Linked DNA regions of Saccharomyces cerevisiae S288C. Changing the gene in region 1 together with any one later gene gives a genetic interaction. Each region holds a gene or a part of one and is shown in the gene's direction. Other genes may lie near its edges.

What was found.
Region 2: mutations in VMS1 (region 1) and PIB2 together harm fitness more than expected from each alone (negative genetic interaction), as found in Saccharomyces cerevisiae (2 studies listed by BioGRID).
Region 3: mutations in VMS1 (region 1) and ACO1 together harm fitness more than expected from each alone (negative genetic interaction), as found in Saccharomyces cerevisiae (2 studies listed by BioGRID).

The regions. Positions count from the first base shown.
Region 1 is NC_001136.10:551,239-557,973, forward strand, and holds VMS1 (Vms1p), read left to right. Parts: upstream 1-2,015; coding exon 2,016-3,914; downstream 3,915-6,735. Other genes in the region: uroporphyrinogen decarboxylase HEM12, read left to right, coding at 622-1,710; triose-phosphate isomerase TPI1, read right to left, coding at 4,488-5,234; acid phosphatase DET1, read right to left, coding at 5,818-6,735. UniProt on the Saccharomyces cerevisiae protein: Endonuclease that cleaves polypeptidyl-tRNAs downstream of the ribosome-associated quality control (RQC) pathway to release incompletely synthesized polypeptides for degradation.
Region 2 is NC_001139.9:449,697-453,991, reverse strand, and holds PIB2 (Pib2p), read left to right. Parts: upstream 1-1,887; coding exon 1,888-3,795; downstream 3,796-4,295. Other genes in the region: dolichyl-diphosphooligosaccharide--protein glycosyltransferase subunit STT3, read right to left, coding at 1-1,588; PGD1 (Pgd1p), read left to right, coding at 4,035-4,295. UniProt on the Saccharomyces cerevisiae protein: Functions as an intracellular glutamine sensor that directly activates the TORC1 signaling pathway, to promote cell growth when glutamine is available. May play a role in repressing NPR1 activity independently of TORC1 signaling.
Region 3 is NC_001144.5:734,712-739,348, reverse strand, and holds ACO1 (aconitate hydratase ACO1), read left to right. Parts: upstream 1-1,800; coding exon 1,801-4,137; downstream 4,138-4,637. Other genes in the region: 1-phosphatidylinositol 4-kinase STT4, read left to right, coding at 1-1,188. UniProt on the Saccharomyces cerevisiae protein: Catalyzes the isomerization of citrate to isocitrate via cis-aconitate, a step in the citric acid cycle.

The DNA.
Region 1 (6,735 bases):
CCGTGGATTGTTAAAGGCTCTTTTTCGGACGCCACATATTCCTATGCTGCACCAGCAATTGGTGTCTTCGGATCATACTACTTCGCACTAGTTTATATTCAAGGCTTTTAATGGAGCTTCGCTCTTAAAAGAAAAAACTTCTTTACTTCCATGCGCGCGTTTTTGGCGTACGTAGCACTGCGAAAGAGTGGGTGATATATAGAGAACATGTTGTAGTATACGTACGCGGGCAATTGTGGTGACAGTATCTCTTTCTGTTAGCAAGTAATATATCCTTGGCCTCAACCTGTCAATAGTGTTAGTTTATCCGCCATCTTGGCGCTATCATACACGATCTTTTTCAATGTTTCTCGTATATACAGGACAGGGTTCGGGGTTTTTGGCGGCAGGAGAGGAAAGCAAAAAAAAATGAGGCAAGAGTTTTAATTTTGCCAGCGAAATGTTCTGCCATTTTCATCTTTACCGCTCGAATTAGTGATGTTCCAGACGAAGGTAACATAGAGTGATCGATAGGTTCTTCAATTCATCAAGCATTATCTCAGAATTGTGTTTGGTAAGCTCTCTTCGAGAAAAGGAAGAACAAAAAAAAAAAAAATAAAGCAAAGAACAGGTTATAACGCTATGGGTAACTTTCCAGCTCCAAAAAACGATTTGATATTGAGAGCCGCAAAGGGTGAAAAAGTCGAGAGACCGCCATGCTGGATAATGCGCCAGGCAGGTCGTTACCTGCCGGAATATCACGAGGTGAAAAACAATCGTGATTTCTTTCAAACTTGCAGGGATGCGGAAATTGCTTCTGAGATTACTATCCAGCCGGTAAGACGCTATAGAGGCCTCATTGATGCTGCTATTATTTTTAGTGATATCTTAGTTATTCCGCAAGCCATGGGTATGAGGGTCGAGATGCTCGAAGGTAAAGGTCCACATTTCCCAGAACCTTTAAGAAATCCGGAAGACCTCCAAACGGTATTAGACTACAAGGTTGATGTTTTGAAAGAGTTAGATTGGGCTTTCAAGGCAATCACCATGACAAGGATCAAGTTGGATGGTGAGGTTCCCTTATTTGGCTTTTGCGGGGGACCTTGGACTCTAATGGTTTATATGACGGAAGGCGGTGGATCCCGTCTTTTCAGATTTGCCAAACAATGGATTAACATGTATCCAGAGCTTTCTCACAAATTATTACAAAAAATCACTGATGTGGCCGTGGAGTTTCTGAGTCAGCAAGTCGTGGCGGGTGCTCAAATACTACAAGTTTTTGAAAGTTGGGGTGGTGAGCTTTCGTCTGTAGATTTTGATGAGTTTTCCCTACCATATTTAAGACAAATTGCCGAAAGAGTGCCTAAAAGATTGCAAGAATTAGGTATCATGGAACAGATTCCTATGATCGTTTTTGCGAAAGGGTCGTGGTATGCTTTGGACAAGCTATGCTGTTCAGGATTTGACGTTGTTTCGTTGGACTGGTCCTGGGACCCAAGAGAAGCGGTAAAAATAAACAAGAACCGTGTCACCTTGCAGGGCAACCTGGATCCTGGCGTCATGTATGGTTCTAAAGAGGTAATAACAAAGAAAGTTAAACAGATGATTGAGGCTTTTGGAGGTGGGAAGTCCCGCTACATTGTTAATTTCGGTCACGGTACCCACCCTTTCATGGATCCAGACGTCATCAAGTTTTTCTTGGAGGAGTGCCACAGAATTGGTTCGAAGTAATGTGGAAATATTGATTCTTATAGTGTTATAAGTGATAATATACGTTTATGTAAATAATATCTTTTTCACAACGTTCAAAAGTGGCCTTTTTTCTTTTTTCGATATTCTGTATATTTATTACGATTTTTTTTTTTTTCAGATATTTATTTTTGCAGGTTCTCTGAATGGATGTAGTGACAAAATCTTAAATAGAAGAAAATAAAAGATGAAGGTATATGAAAATAAATGAGAATGCATATCACCTTTCCTTCGAAGAAAAAGGATTTTCAAAAGATCTGCACGCCTGTTGACAAGCTTCCAATAGCATGAATTCACAAAAGGCGAGTAAAATGACTGGCTCACTAAAAAAGAATGATCTTTATATTTTTGATTTGTCTGAGCAACTTCTGAATTCATTGAAATTGATGAGCTTTGACTCCACACTGCGAGAAGTTGAAGTAGAGAAGACATCTGATAATGATAGAAACAAGGAGTCTGGAGATCTCCAAATAGCAAGAAAGAAGGTCACATCAAATGTTATGCGTTGTAGTGTTTGTCAAATGAGCTTTGATTCCAGAAATGAACAAAAGGCCCACTACCAGACTGATTATCATTTGATGAATGTTAAGCGTAACCTTAGGGGGCTGGATATCCTATCCGTTGAGGAATTCGATGCGCTGATTTCTAAGGAGCATGGTATCAAGTCTGAAGACGAAAATTCTGGCGGCGAGCAAACTTCAAGCGATCACGAAGAAAGTGAGGAAGCCAGCGATCGGGACCCGGACCTACAAACTAATAATTATATGGAAACTATAATCGAAAATGATTTGCAGAAATTAGGGTTCCAAAAAGACGAGTCGGATGCTATTAGCCATATTAATACCCAATCGCCCTACATTTATTTCAAATCGAAGTATCTTCAAAAGAATGAGGTCTTGGCGATTTATAAGTCTCTATTTAATAAAAGGAGTCTTTCCAACCCCAATGAAGCTTTGACTTTTTGGAATTCGCAAGAGAACCCAATGGCCATTTCAGCTCTGTTTATGGTGGGAGGTGGACATTTTGCGGGAGCAATTGTTTCTCATCAAAGACTCAATGTCAAGGGGAACGCGCACAAGAAGGACGAAACCTTAATTGAGCAAGCGGTCAATTTCTTAGAGCACAAGACGTTTCACAGGTATACTACCAGAAGGAAGCAAGGTGGTTCTCAGTCAGCAATGGACAATGCAAAGGGAAAAGCTAACTCTGCCGGTTCAGCACTTCGTAGGTACAATGAAAGCGCTTTAAAAACAGATATACAGGGTGTGTTGAAGGACTGGGAACCTTATCTGTCAAAGTGTGATAATATTTTTATTCGAGCTCGCAATGTCAGTGATAAAAAAATTTTTACTGATAATACCGTTCTGAACAAGGGTGATGAAAGGATAAAGAGCTTCCCTTTTACCACGAACAGGCCCACTGTATTAGAATTGAAGAAGGCATGGTGCGAACTTTCCTACCTGAAAATATTACCTAAGCCTGAACCATTGGCAGTGAAAGAAACAGTACAAAAGTTAGAAGTGTCGAACAAAAAGGACGAATTTAAAGAAAAACAAGAACCGTTACTGGAAGAAATCCAAACAGAAGAAATAATTTCTCTGCTGAAGAAAGGAAGGGCACCGTTATTGATATCCTTCTTAAAAAAGAATAAGCTTGATGGAAACTTTCGGTTAAAGCCTGAGAGTAAATATTCCTTAACCCCTACCATGTTACATTATGCATCGCAGCAAGGGATGAAACAGATGGCACTGATTTTGCTCTCAAATATTAAATGCGATCCAACGATCAAGAACAGACTAGGAAGGACTGCGTGGGATTTGAATAGAAACGACGACGTGAGACACGCGTTTCAAATTGCAAGATACAATCTTGGAGAGTCTTTCACTAATTGGGACGAAACTCATATCGGTCAGCCATTGAGCAGAGAACAAGTTGATGAAATCAATGAAAAGAAAAAAGCAATAGAGAATGAAAAGGCAGAAAAACTGATTAAATTGGAATTAGAAGCCGCCAAGGAAAAACAAAGATTTGCTAAAGATGCAGAGAGGGGTCCAGGCAAAAAGTTAACCAATATTCCTTCAATTCAGCAACAAAATTTGAATTCTTTGACCGATGAACAGAGACGCAGATTGATGAGAGAACAAAGGGCTAGAGCCGCAGAAGAAAGGATGAAAAAGAAATACTGAGGAATATCTCATATTCAAATTTTTAGGATTTTTCTTAGCATTTGCATATATTTTCATAGACACAGTACTTACATTTAATAACAGTAATTGAAAAGCAATATTAAAATATAGAAGCCCAAATTTTATATTTCAAATGAATAAATGTTGTTTTTTTTGGCAATTTTTTGCTCTTCTATATAACAGTTGAAATTTGGATAAGAACATCTTCTCAACGCGAAAATGACGCCTCCAGTGAAAAAACATAAACTTTCAATGCAGTCTTCGGTACACTTATGAGTAACCCATATAGAGATCGTACACATTTTACAAGGATTTAGAGACAAAGTAATATTCTTCGTTGATATAGAGGTGTTCAATTGTTAAATGCTTTTCTTCTTTTTATTAGAAAAAGCGCCTTGCTTTTTGTTGTATCACTTGTAAATCTACCGTCCCTTACAAGAACATTCACGAAATTTAAGTGGCTCAGAATGAAAAAGAAACAATATAAAAAAGCTTTCCGTAGTCATCAATTTATTTTACATAACACTAGATATAAAGAAAAGAAGATAATATTTTTATATAATTATATTAATCTTAGTTTCTAGAGTTGATGATATCAACAAATTCTGGCTTCAAAGAAGCACCACCGACCAAGAAACCATCGACATCAGCCTTGTCCTTGAAGGTAACGGCGTTGCTACCGTTAGCGGAACCACCGTATAAGATTCTCAATTCGCTGGCAGCCTTGTCACCCAACTTGGAAGCCAAGAACTTTCTGATGGAAGCGTGAATATCTTGAGCATCTTCTGGAGTAGCAGCCAAACCGGTACCAATGGCCCAGACTGGTTCGTAAGCGACAACGACGTTAGTCCAGTCCTTAACTTCTTCCAAGACAGCGTTCAATTGTCTTTCAACAACATCCAAAGTCTTACCGGCCTTCTTTTCTTCCAAAGTTTCACCGATACACAAGATGACACCGACACCTTGACCTAAAGCGAACTTGGTCTTGTCAGCAATGAACTTGTCATCTTCGTGGAAGTAAGATCTTCTTTCGGAGTGACCCAAAATAACCCACTTAGCACCAACATCCTTGATTTGGTCAACGGAGTTTTCACCGGTGAAAGCACCAGAAGCCTTCAAGTAGGCGTTTTGAGCACCGACAGTGACTTGTGGCTTCTTAACCAAAGAGACAGAGTAGTCTAAGTAGGTAGCTGGAGGACAGATAACAACTTCGACATTTTCTGGGATAGAAGCAGTGTTCAATCTTTCAACAATTTCCTTAATGGATTGTTTGGAACCGTTTAATTTAAAGTTACCACCGACAAAGAAAGTTCTAGCCATTTTTAGTTTATGTATGTGTTTTTTGTAGTTATAGATTTAAGCAAGAAAAGAATACAAACAAAAAATTGAAAAAGATTGATTTAGAATTAAAAAGAAAAATATTTACGTAAGAAGGGAAAATAGTAAATGTTGCAAGTTCACTAAACTCCTAAATTATGCTGCCCTTTATATTCCCTGTTACAGCAGCCGAGCCAAAGGTATATAGGCTCCTTTGCATTAGCATGCGTAACAAACCACCTGTCAGTTTCAACCGAGGTGGTATCCGAGAGAATTGTGTGATTGCTTTAATTAATTTCGGAGAATCTCACATGCCACTGAAGATTAAAAACTGGATGCCAGAAAAGGGGTGTCCAGGTGTAACATCAATAGAGGAAGCTGAAAAGTCTTAGAACGGGTAATCTTCCACCAACCTGATGGGTTCCTAGATATAATCTCGAAGGGAATAAGTAGGGTGATACCGCAGAAGTGTCTGAATGTATTAAGGTCCTCACAGTTTAAATCCCGCTCACACTAACGTAGGATTATTATAACTCAAAAAAATGGCATTATTCTAAGTAAGTTAAATATCCGTAATCTTTAAACACTATGTAGTTAGGTCTCCCTCACAATCAGTCCATTTGGGTAGCACGGTCCTCAGGACGTATCTATTGATGGATTCGTCCAGTTCCATCACCATTACGCTCCCGTTAGGAACATTGGTAAACGATTCAAACTCTTCGTATGTCCATCTAAACCATTTCATCAGGAATACTCTGGAATAAATACCATGTGTAACTAGGACAACAACATCTCTGGGTCTTCTCTCTTGCCTATCATGGAAGTGCCTGAATAAAGTCTCTTGGAAACTGGCGACTCTGTCATATACATCTGCCGCACTTTCTCCATGAGGGAATCTGAAGAAGAAATGACCATACGTAGATCTCTTCTTCATAACGTCCTGCATGCTATTGATTTTTTGGAAATTACCAAAATCTTGTTCCCTTATTCTTGGCTCATCCTTAACCCGATATTGCAGATAACATTTTCCAGGCTTCCCTTCACAAATATTATCTTCATTATTTTCGTAAACACCACCAGTATTATTAAGTCCTCTCGGCCAAAATGCATGTTTCTGTTTACCATGTGGATCATATCTCATATCTTCACATATACGAACACCACTGTTTAATTCATTATATTCATCGATGACGTCCAAAATACCTTTCAATGTTTCCCTTGCTCTTCTATAGGGTGATGTATAAAAAACTATGTTTGTGTCTTTTTCTCTACTCAGCCTGGTATAGTCCTTCAGCGGTAAAGTTCTCCTGCTACTTTCATCTTTAATATACTTCTTAGCCAAATCCTCCACCAAGTTGTGATCGTCTACGTTTAAAACACGTAATAAGTCAATACCAGCTTGTCTAGCTTGGATTTGACCTGTTTTCGTTAAAGAAATCAGATGGTTAGGAATATAACCATTGACCTCCTTGTTTTTATTTGATTCGCTTTCCCCATGCCTTAT
Region 2 (4,295 bases), on another chromosome or scaffold:
TTCTGTCTGCCATGCCACCAATTTGGTAACCGTAATCCCACCACGCTGCAACCTTACTGTCCTCATCAGAGTTCATTCTTAACCAATAGTACGCTTCCCTGAAGTCGTCGATCAACGCCAATTTACCATCTGGGGTTTGTGATGGCAAAACAACAGAAGGAGAAGAGTATGCAGTTCTTGTTACCCAAGTAGAATGGAAGACGAAAAGATACAAATAAAAGATGAATGATCCGGAAACAATCAATTTGGCCAGTAGTGCCGCAGGTTTGATGGCGTATTTGCGGTCACTTGTCTTGAAATCCAGGTAGATGTCAAATATCTTGGACAATGCGACGGCGGCGGACACACAGATGACTGGTGTCAAAGTCAACATCAATCTAACCATAACACCGGCAAAGTACGAACACAGAACGGAGTAAGCGATGACAAAAACGTGCTCGTCTTTCAAGTCGAGGAATAGTAGGAATACACCGGCGGGGAATAGCCAGATCAAAAAGTGGGTATCAAAGAAGAAAGCGGGCCACGAAACGGGTTGATGTTCGGAAACGGAGGCAATGATAGGAATGTGGATCTTTGCGTAGTTGGTATCCCATAACGAATAAAATCTACCAGTCCAAGGGGCAATCAACCCCATATAGGTCAAGGCAGAAAGTCCGACCACACCAAGGACCAAGATCAAAAACAGAGAAACCATCATGATGACTTTAAACTTAGCTGTGCTGATTTGGCCCTTCACGAAGTCACCGAAGGCGACAATCTGAATCAAACCGAAAACACCCAATGCGGCCATGTGGTCGTTAGACCTGATAGGTAGGAAACCGACAAATGGGATCTGCATGGATGCAACAGTTCCAATAGCGTACCAAGTGGTGTAGGCAGAATACAGTTTGGACGAATATCTGCCCATCAAAATCAGCAAAAAGACATGGAGTGGGATCAAGTTGGTGATGAACACGTATCCACCCCAAGCCGACACCATGTAGAAGTAGAATAAAGCTGCACACGTTGCGTGCATGATAGAGCCAGTCTTTTGGGCCTTAATCCAAAACATGAAAGTGACCATTAATAGTGTAATGGCAATGGCCTCATTATCGTAGGACCCCGCCACTGATCTAGATATATAACCGGGGACAATGGCTATAAAACCAGCAGCCAAAAGCCCAGCGCTGGCATCTTTAATCTCTTTCGTAAATTCGTAAGTCGCCCAGGCGGTGACCCCAGAAAATAGTGGCGCAAATAGCACACAAACGTTTCTGATGTCAATGGGCAAGCCCAACCAGTTGCGCAGGGCGTGCCAGATGAACGCACTAGTCGTCATCAAACCAGGATATAAAGTCCCTCCAGTAACCCTTCCGAGGGGGTACCAGGTACGGTCGTCAAACCAGTTCAAAAACTTGTAAAACGAATTGTTGACGAGATATTTGGTAGCCCTATAATTGAACCAGGGGTCGAATTCATGGATAATAGACTCAAATTTGATGACTGCAAACAAACGTGATGATATGGCAGCCCCAAAAATCGCCACGAAGATGACGAGCTTGAGGATGGTCTGAAACACAGACAAAACACACGACCGGTCGGATCCCATGGCAGCTGTGATAATGACGAATGGTAGTTAGGATTTACGGCTGTGAATGCGATTGCGGATGCTATGTCACGTTGAATTAGACCGTGCTTTTGCTGCTTTTCTTTCTTTCAGACTTGCTCTTTTGTTCGTGTCTTATTTTGTCAATTCTCGACCAGCGCGAAAAAGCAACCGTCGATGGTGACCATTTAGCAGAGGCGAAGAGAAGTAAAAGAAAGCTTATGATATGACTATTGAGACCTGGAATAGGTACGAAGCGCCAGTGAGGAGGACTGGGCAGCACAGTTGTAGTGGAGACCAGAATGACTGCGTTGCATAGTGTGTCCAAAACGCCCGCGATCAAGGAAGAGGAGGAGGACGGTGATGAGCGAGACGGCAGAGGAGTTCCCCTGGGACCAAGGAACCATGACTACCGTGGCAGGAAAGGTGATGAGGAAAGCGGTGCTGACACCGTGACATCTCCCATCACGTTTGAAAAGAAGAAGATAGCGCCCAGGGCGTCAACGCATTCCGAACAGAGTATTTTGAGCAGCATCTCATTGAAATCGATGGTAAATCAACATCGTCAGCAGCAGTTGCAGCAAGAGAGCTCAACAGGGGCAGGCACTGGGTTTGTTGACAGAAAGCAGCAGATCCAATCTCCGGCGATGGTGTCCATATTGAGGAAGAACTCTGCTGAGGAGAATGTTCGCAGCAGCCACAGTAGCAAGCTCGGTGAAGGGCAGATAGATGGTAGGAAGGCTTCTGCTAGTAAGGAGATCGGCAAGACGTTGCCATTCACGGATGACCAAAGATCGAACCCTGAACTAGATCCCACCAATAGCGTGGTGGATGTTAGCAGGGGCAAGAATACAAAGAGCAAAACTGTGTTCAATGAGTTAGAAGATGATGCCGATGACGATGACGAGGTTCGACAAAAGAATCTAACCACGCAGGCGTTACGCAAGTTGTCGTCGTTCAAAATGAATGCTAGTTCTAATTTGAGGTTGAGTAAAGAAAACAAGGCGAAAGAGTCTTCATCTTCGTCCACGTCTTCAGTGTCGTCATCGTCGACGTCGAAGGTGGAAAATATTGTCGACAAGCTGACTACAACGAATTCTAGCTCGATGTCCCAACTGCGGTTTGGCAACACGAACGTCATTATTGATTCGGTGAATCATGCGGCGAAACCGCCGCATCAGCAGATGCTAAGGAAACCCTCGCTGGAATTTTTACCGCAGCCTGCTTCGAGCACTAATCTGAATTTTAATTCCAATAAACATAAATCAAATGTAAGACAGATCAGTAACCCTAAAAAACCGCTATACATCCCCGCCGTGCTGAGGAAAGTTTCAGAGACAAACATAACTAATGACGATCTGTTGAATGCAACATTGTCGTCTTACTACAAGAAGGCATCTAACCTGGAACATGGCTTTAATCCAAGCAAGTCGCAATCCGCTAGCGTTCAGAATGCGAACAACCTACGGATCATATCTTCTCAATCCAGCGTACAATCCAACACATCGTCAATCTTGGAAAGCTACAAAAACAAAATATCCTCGTACTTGTTCCCGAATTCTATTCCGAACAGCGACAGAATCAACTTAATACCAACTATTTCAAACAGAAACTCTGCCAGAGTAAACCCGCCCACTAAGGACCACTGGATTCCGGACAGTAAGAGGAATTCTTGTCGTTACTGCCATAAGCCTTTTACCCTGTGGGAAAGGAAACATCATTGCAGGCATTGCGGGGACATCTTTTGTCAAGACCATTTGCGCCATTGGCTGTACCTGGACTCGCAGGCAAATTTTATAATGATCAACGAACTAAACAACGGTGGCATAAATGGCGGTGGCACTCTCTGTAAAATATGCGATGACTGTCTGGTCGAGTACGAGAACCTTTCAACCACGAACCATAACGCAAACACGAACGAGGATAACATAAACGTTGAGGAGGGCGAAGATGACGATAATGACAATAGGAAGAAATTACGCAATTACTACAAGAATAGGCAGATGAACGCTCTTTTCAGACCAAAGAAGGGCGGTTCGTCCCAAGAGCATGCCACGGTTGATCGAGACACAACAACGCCCATCCAGGTGAAGTCGAACGACGAAGAAGCAGATAATGAGAATACGGGGGGAGAACAAGAAGAAGGTAATGATGTTTTGGGCAGTGTTATCGGCTCTGTGCCTGCAAACTGGAATTGGAGTAGTTTCTGATGAACATTTTTTGCGAGACAAGCGAAGAGAGGATGTACACTATTGATGTATGACCATTATGTATACAATAAACTTAATATAATATGATATAATATAATATAATATATAACACTAACACTTTCCTGAGGATTTTCGGTATGGCGCCGAGCGAAATTTTAAAGAGAACAACAGAAACAGTCACCAAGACTTCTTCAATTAGGCAGCGCAAAACGGACACAACAGCAGTAAAGACAACCGGAATGGACTCGATTATACCGGCAGGCGTCAAGCTAGATGATTTACAAGTGATATTGGCTAAGAACGAGAATGAAACCAGGGACAAAGTGTGTAAGCAGATCAACGAAGCACGCGATGAAATTCTGCCGTTGCGATTGCAGTTCAATGAATTCATACAGATAATGGCAAACATAGACCAAGAAGGATCCAAGCAGGCTGACCGTATGGCCAAATACCTACATATCAGAGACAAGATTTTGCAACTGAACGATAGATTCCAGACT
Region 3 (4,637 bases), on another chromosome or scaffold:
GCAAACTGCTACAAGGATGATGAAGGTATACAAGAAGATGAAATCAAACCAACTCTAGATCGTATTAGGGAGCGTATGGTTTCAAGTTTCAGCCAATCTCATCGCGATTTTTACGAACGTGAATTTGAATTCTTCGACGAAGTAACTGGCATATCTGGTAAGTTGAAACCATACATAAAAAAAAGTAAGGCTGAAAAGAAACATAAGATCGATGAAGAAATGAGCAAAATTGAGGTGAAACCTGATGTTTATTTACCTTCTAATCCTGACGGTGTAGTTATTGATATTGATCGGAAGAGTGGTAAGCCACTTCAATCTCACGCAAAGGCGCCTTTTATGGCGACCTTTAAAATAAAGAAAGACGTAAAAGATCCTTTGACAGGTAAAAACAAGGAAGTTGAAAAATGGCAAGCTGCTATCTTCAAAGTCGGTGATGACTGTAGGCAAGATGTTCTAGCGTTACAATTGATCTCGCTATTTAGAACCATTTGGTCTAGTATTGGCTTGGATGTCTACGTTTTTCCCTACAGAGTTACTGCGACGGCACCGGGTTGTGGTGTCATCGATGTGCTACCCAATTCGGTATCCCGTGATATGTTAGGACGTGAAGCTGTTAATGGATTATATGAATATTTCACTAGTAAATTTGGTAATGAATCTACTATCGAATTTCAAAACGCACGAAACAACTTTGTTAAATCCTTAGCGGGATATAGCGTAATTTCGTATTTGTTGCAATTCAAGGATAGACATAATGGTAACATTATGTACGATGATCAAGGACATTGTCTACATATCGATTTTGGGTTTATTTTTGATATTGTCCCAGGTGGTATCAAGTTTGAAGCAGTACCATTCAAGCTGACGAAAGAAATGGTTAAAGTGATGGGAGGTTCGCCCCAGACCCCAGCGTATCTGGACTTTGAAGAACTTTGTATCAAGGCATATCTAGCCGCCCGTCCGCACGTGGAGGCCATAATTGAGTGTGTAAATCCTATGTTAGGAAGCGGTCTCCCCTGCTTTAAGGGTCACAAGACAATTAGGAATCTAAGAGCAAGATTTCAACCTCAAAAAACCGATCACGAAGCTGCACTATATATGAAGGCGCTAATCCGTAAAAGTTATGAAAGTATATTCACTAAAGGTTATGATGAATTCCAAAGGCTCACAAATGGCATTCCGTACTGATATACTTCGCACTTTACATATGCTTATATAAAAATACCAGTTTCCCATCGTCAATTACGCAGACGTAGCCTTCGTTTATTTTCTCTCTTTTTGTATATCATTGTATTAATCATAATCCATTGTATTTTACTTTGTCTTATCTGGCTTTAATGAATGACGCCGGTCACACGCGGGTGCCTGATTCTCGATTGTGCCAAGCCATTTGGGCACGGTGTCAAATTACCTAAAAAATGGCCGAGAGCCGCAAAAGGGAGGTCCGCGGGGCCGGGCAATACCCTTTGTTTTTCGAGCATTTCGGCGCCGAAATCGGCAAAGGTCCTGACCAATCAATAGAGAAATTAGTGCATACGAGAAAAATTTGAACCCTTCAGTTGTTCTCCGCAGGCGACTTTAACCATCAAACCTCCAATCGCTGCCGGTTTTCGGAAAGGCAAGCACAAAAAGGGAGGACAAGGAAAATCTTTTGTTATATATATAATCTTCCGGTTTTAGAGGTTAATTAGGAGGAGTATGTTGCTTAATTCCGTTGTCCCTTGTTCTGTTCACTCTTTCTTAGTTATTACATAGTAGAACGAAGGTAATAAATACTACCATTATTACTATAGATATACAATGCTGTCTGCACGTTCTGCCATCAAGAGACCCATTGTTCGTGGTCTTGCGACAGTCTCCAACTTGACTAGAGATTCAAAAGTCAACCAAAACTTATTAGAAGATCATTCTTTTATTAACTACAAGCAGAATGTGGAAACGCTGGATATCGTAAGAAAAAGATTAAACAGGCCATTTACCTACGCGGAAAAGATTTTGTACGGTCACTTGGATGACCCTCATGGTCAAGATATTCAGAGAGGTGTTTCATACCTAAAATTAAGACCAGATCGTGTTGCCTGTCAAGATGCTACTGCTCAAATGGCTATTTTACAATTTATGTCCGCTGGTTTACCACAGGTTGCTAAGCCAGTCACTGTCCACTGTGACCATTTGATTCAAGCACAAGTTGGTGGTGAAAAAGATTTGAAGAGAGCTATAGATCTAAACAAGGAAGTTTATGATTTCTTGGCCTCTGCCACTGCGAAATATAACATGGGTTTCTGGAAGCCAGGTTCCGGTATCATTCACCAAATTGTTCTGGAAAACTACGCTTTCCCAGGTGCTTTGATCATTGGTACTGACTCCCATACACCAAATGCTGGTGGTTTAGGTCAATTGGCTATTGGTGTTGGTGGTGCTGATGCCGTTGATGTTATGGCAGGTCGTCCATGGGAATTGAAGGCTCCAAAGATCTTAGGTGTTAAGTTGACTGGTAAGATGAACGGTTGGACTTCTCCAAAGGATATTATTTTGAAATTGGCTGGTATCACAACTGTCAAAGGTGGTACTGGTAAAATTGTTGAATATTTCGGTGATGGTGTTGACACCTTCTCCGCTACTGGTATGGGTACCATTTGTAATATGGGTGCTGAAATCGGTGCTACCACATCTGTTTTCCCATTCAACAAATCTATGATTGAATATTTGGAAGCAACTGGTCGTGGTAAGATCGCTGACTTTGCTAAATTATACCACAAGGACCTATTATCTGCTGATAAGGATGCTGAATACGATGAGGTCGTCGAAATTGACTTGAACACTCTGGAACCATACATCAATGGGCCATTTACCCCCGATTTGGCTACTCCAGTTTCTAAGATGAAGGAAGTTGCTGTTGCTAATAACTGGCCATTGGATGTCAGAGTCGGTTTGATCGGTTCTTGTACCAATTCCTCTTATGAAGATATGTCTCGTTCAGCATCCATTGTCAAGGATGCTGCTGCTCATGGTTTGAAATCCAAGACCATTTTCACTGTTACTCCAGGTTCTGAACAAATCAGAGCCACTATTGAACGTGATGGCCAATTAGAAACCTTCAAAGAATTTGGTGGTATCGTTTTGGCAAACGCCTGTGGCCCATGTATTGGTCAATGGGATCGTAGAGATATCAAGAAAGGTGACAAGAATACTATCGTTTCCTCTTACAACAGAAATTTCACTTCTAGAAATGATGGTAACCCACAAACTCATGCTTTTGTTGCATCTCCAGAATTAGTAACTGCGTTCGCCATTGCGGGTGATTTGAGATTCAACCCTCTAACAGACAAATTAAAGGACAAGGATGGTAATGAGTTCATGTTGAAACCACCACATGGTGATGGTTTGCCTCAAAGAGGTTATGATGCTGGTGAGAACACTTACCAAGCTCCACCTGCAGACCGTAGCACCGTTGAAGTTAAAGTTTCTCCAACTTCAGACCGTCTACAACTGTTGAAACCATTCAAACCTTGGGATGGTAAGGATGCTAAAGACATGCCAATCTTGATTAAGGCCGTCGGTAAGACAACTACTGATCATATTTCTATGGCTGGTCCATGGTTGAAATACAGAGGTCATTTAGAAAACATTTCTAATAACTATATGATTGGTGCTATTAATGCTGAAAACAAGAAGGCTAACTGTGTTAAAAATGTATATACTGGTGAATACAAAGGTGTTCCAGACACTGCTAGAGATTACAGAGACCAAGGTATCAAGTGGGTTGTTATTGGTGATGAAAACTTTGGTGAAGGTTCCTCTCGTGAACACGCTGCTTTGGAACCAAGATTCTTGGGCGGTTTCGCTATCATCACAAAGTCTTTCGCTCGTATCCATGAAACTAACTTGAAAAAACAAGGTCTATTGCCATTGAACTTCAAGAACCCAGCTGACTATGACAAGATCAACCCTGATGACAGAATCGATATTCTGGGTCTAGCTGAATTGGCTCCAGGTAAGCCTGTAACAATGAGAGTTCATCCAAAGAATGGTAAGCCATGGGATGCTGTGTTGACCCATACTTTCAACGATGAGCAAATTGAATGGTTCAAATATGGTTCTGCCTTAAATAAAATTAAGGCCGATGAGAAGAAATAATGAAAACATTGTTATAATCTTTTAAAGGTTATTATTTATTTTGTCTTCTGTACACCGTACCCTTGTTTATCTTTTCTGCCTTAAATTTAATGACGTTCGGCTGGAGAAGTCAAGACTATGAAATATATCTCGTAATTTATGATCGTATATTATTTATTTATTGATTGTTTTATTGTTTATTTATTTATTTAAGTACCCCTATTGTACGTACATAAAAAAGCAAAACTTTTATATTATATTGTTGCTGATTATGTACTCAGTTTAACGAGGATTAAAAAAAAAAAAAAATTAAGTAATAAGTGCACCGTCTGTCAGACGGTCGAATTTAAAAATAAATGGTCTCTAGCGGGATCGAACCGCTGATCCCCGCGTTATTAGCACGGTGCCTTAACCAACTGGGCCAAGAGACCAAACTTTGTTGAATGTTGAGCAAGTTAACATCTTATAGGACATATTAAACTATGACGACATTGTTGCAAATAAAACACTATTGATTGCTT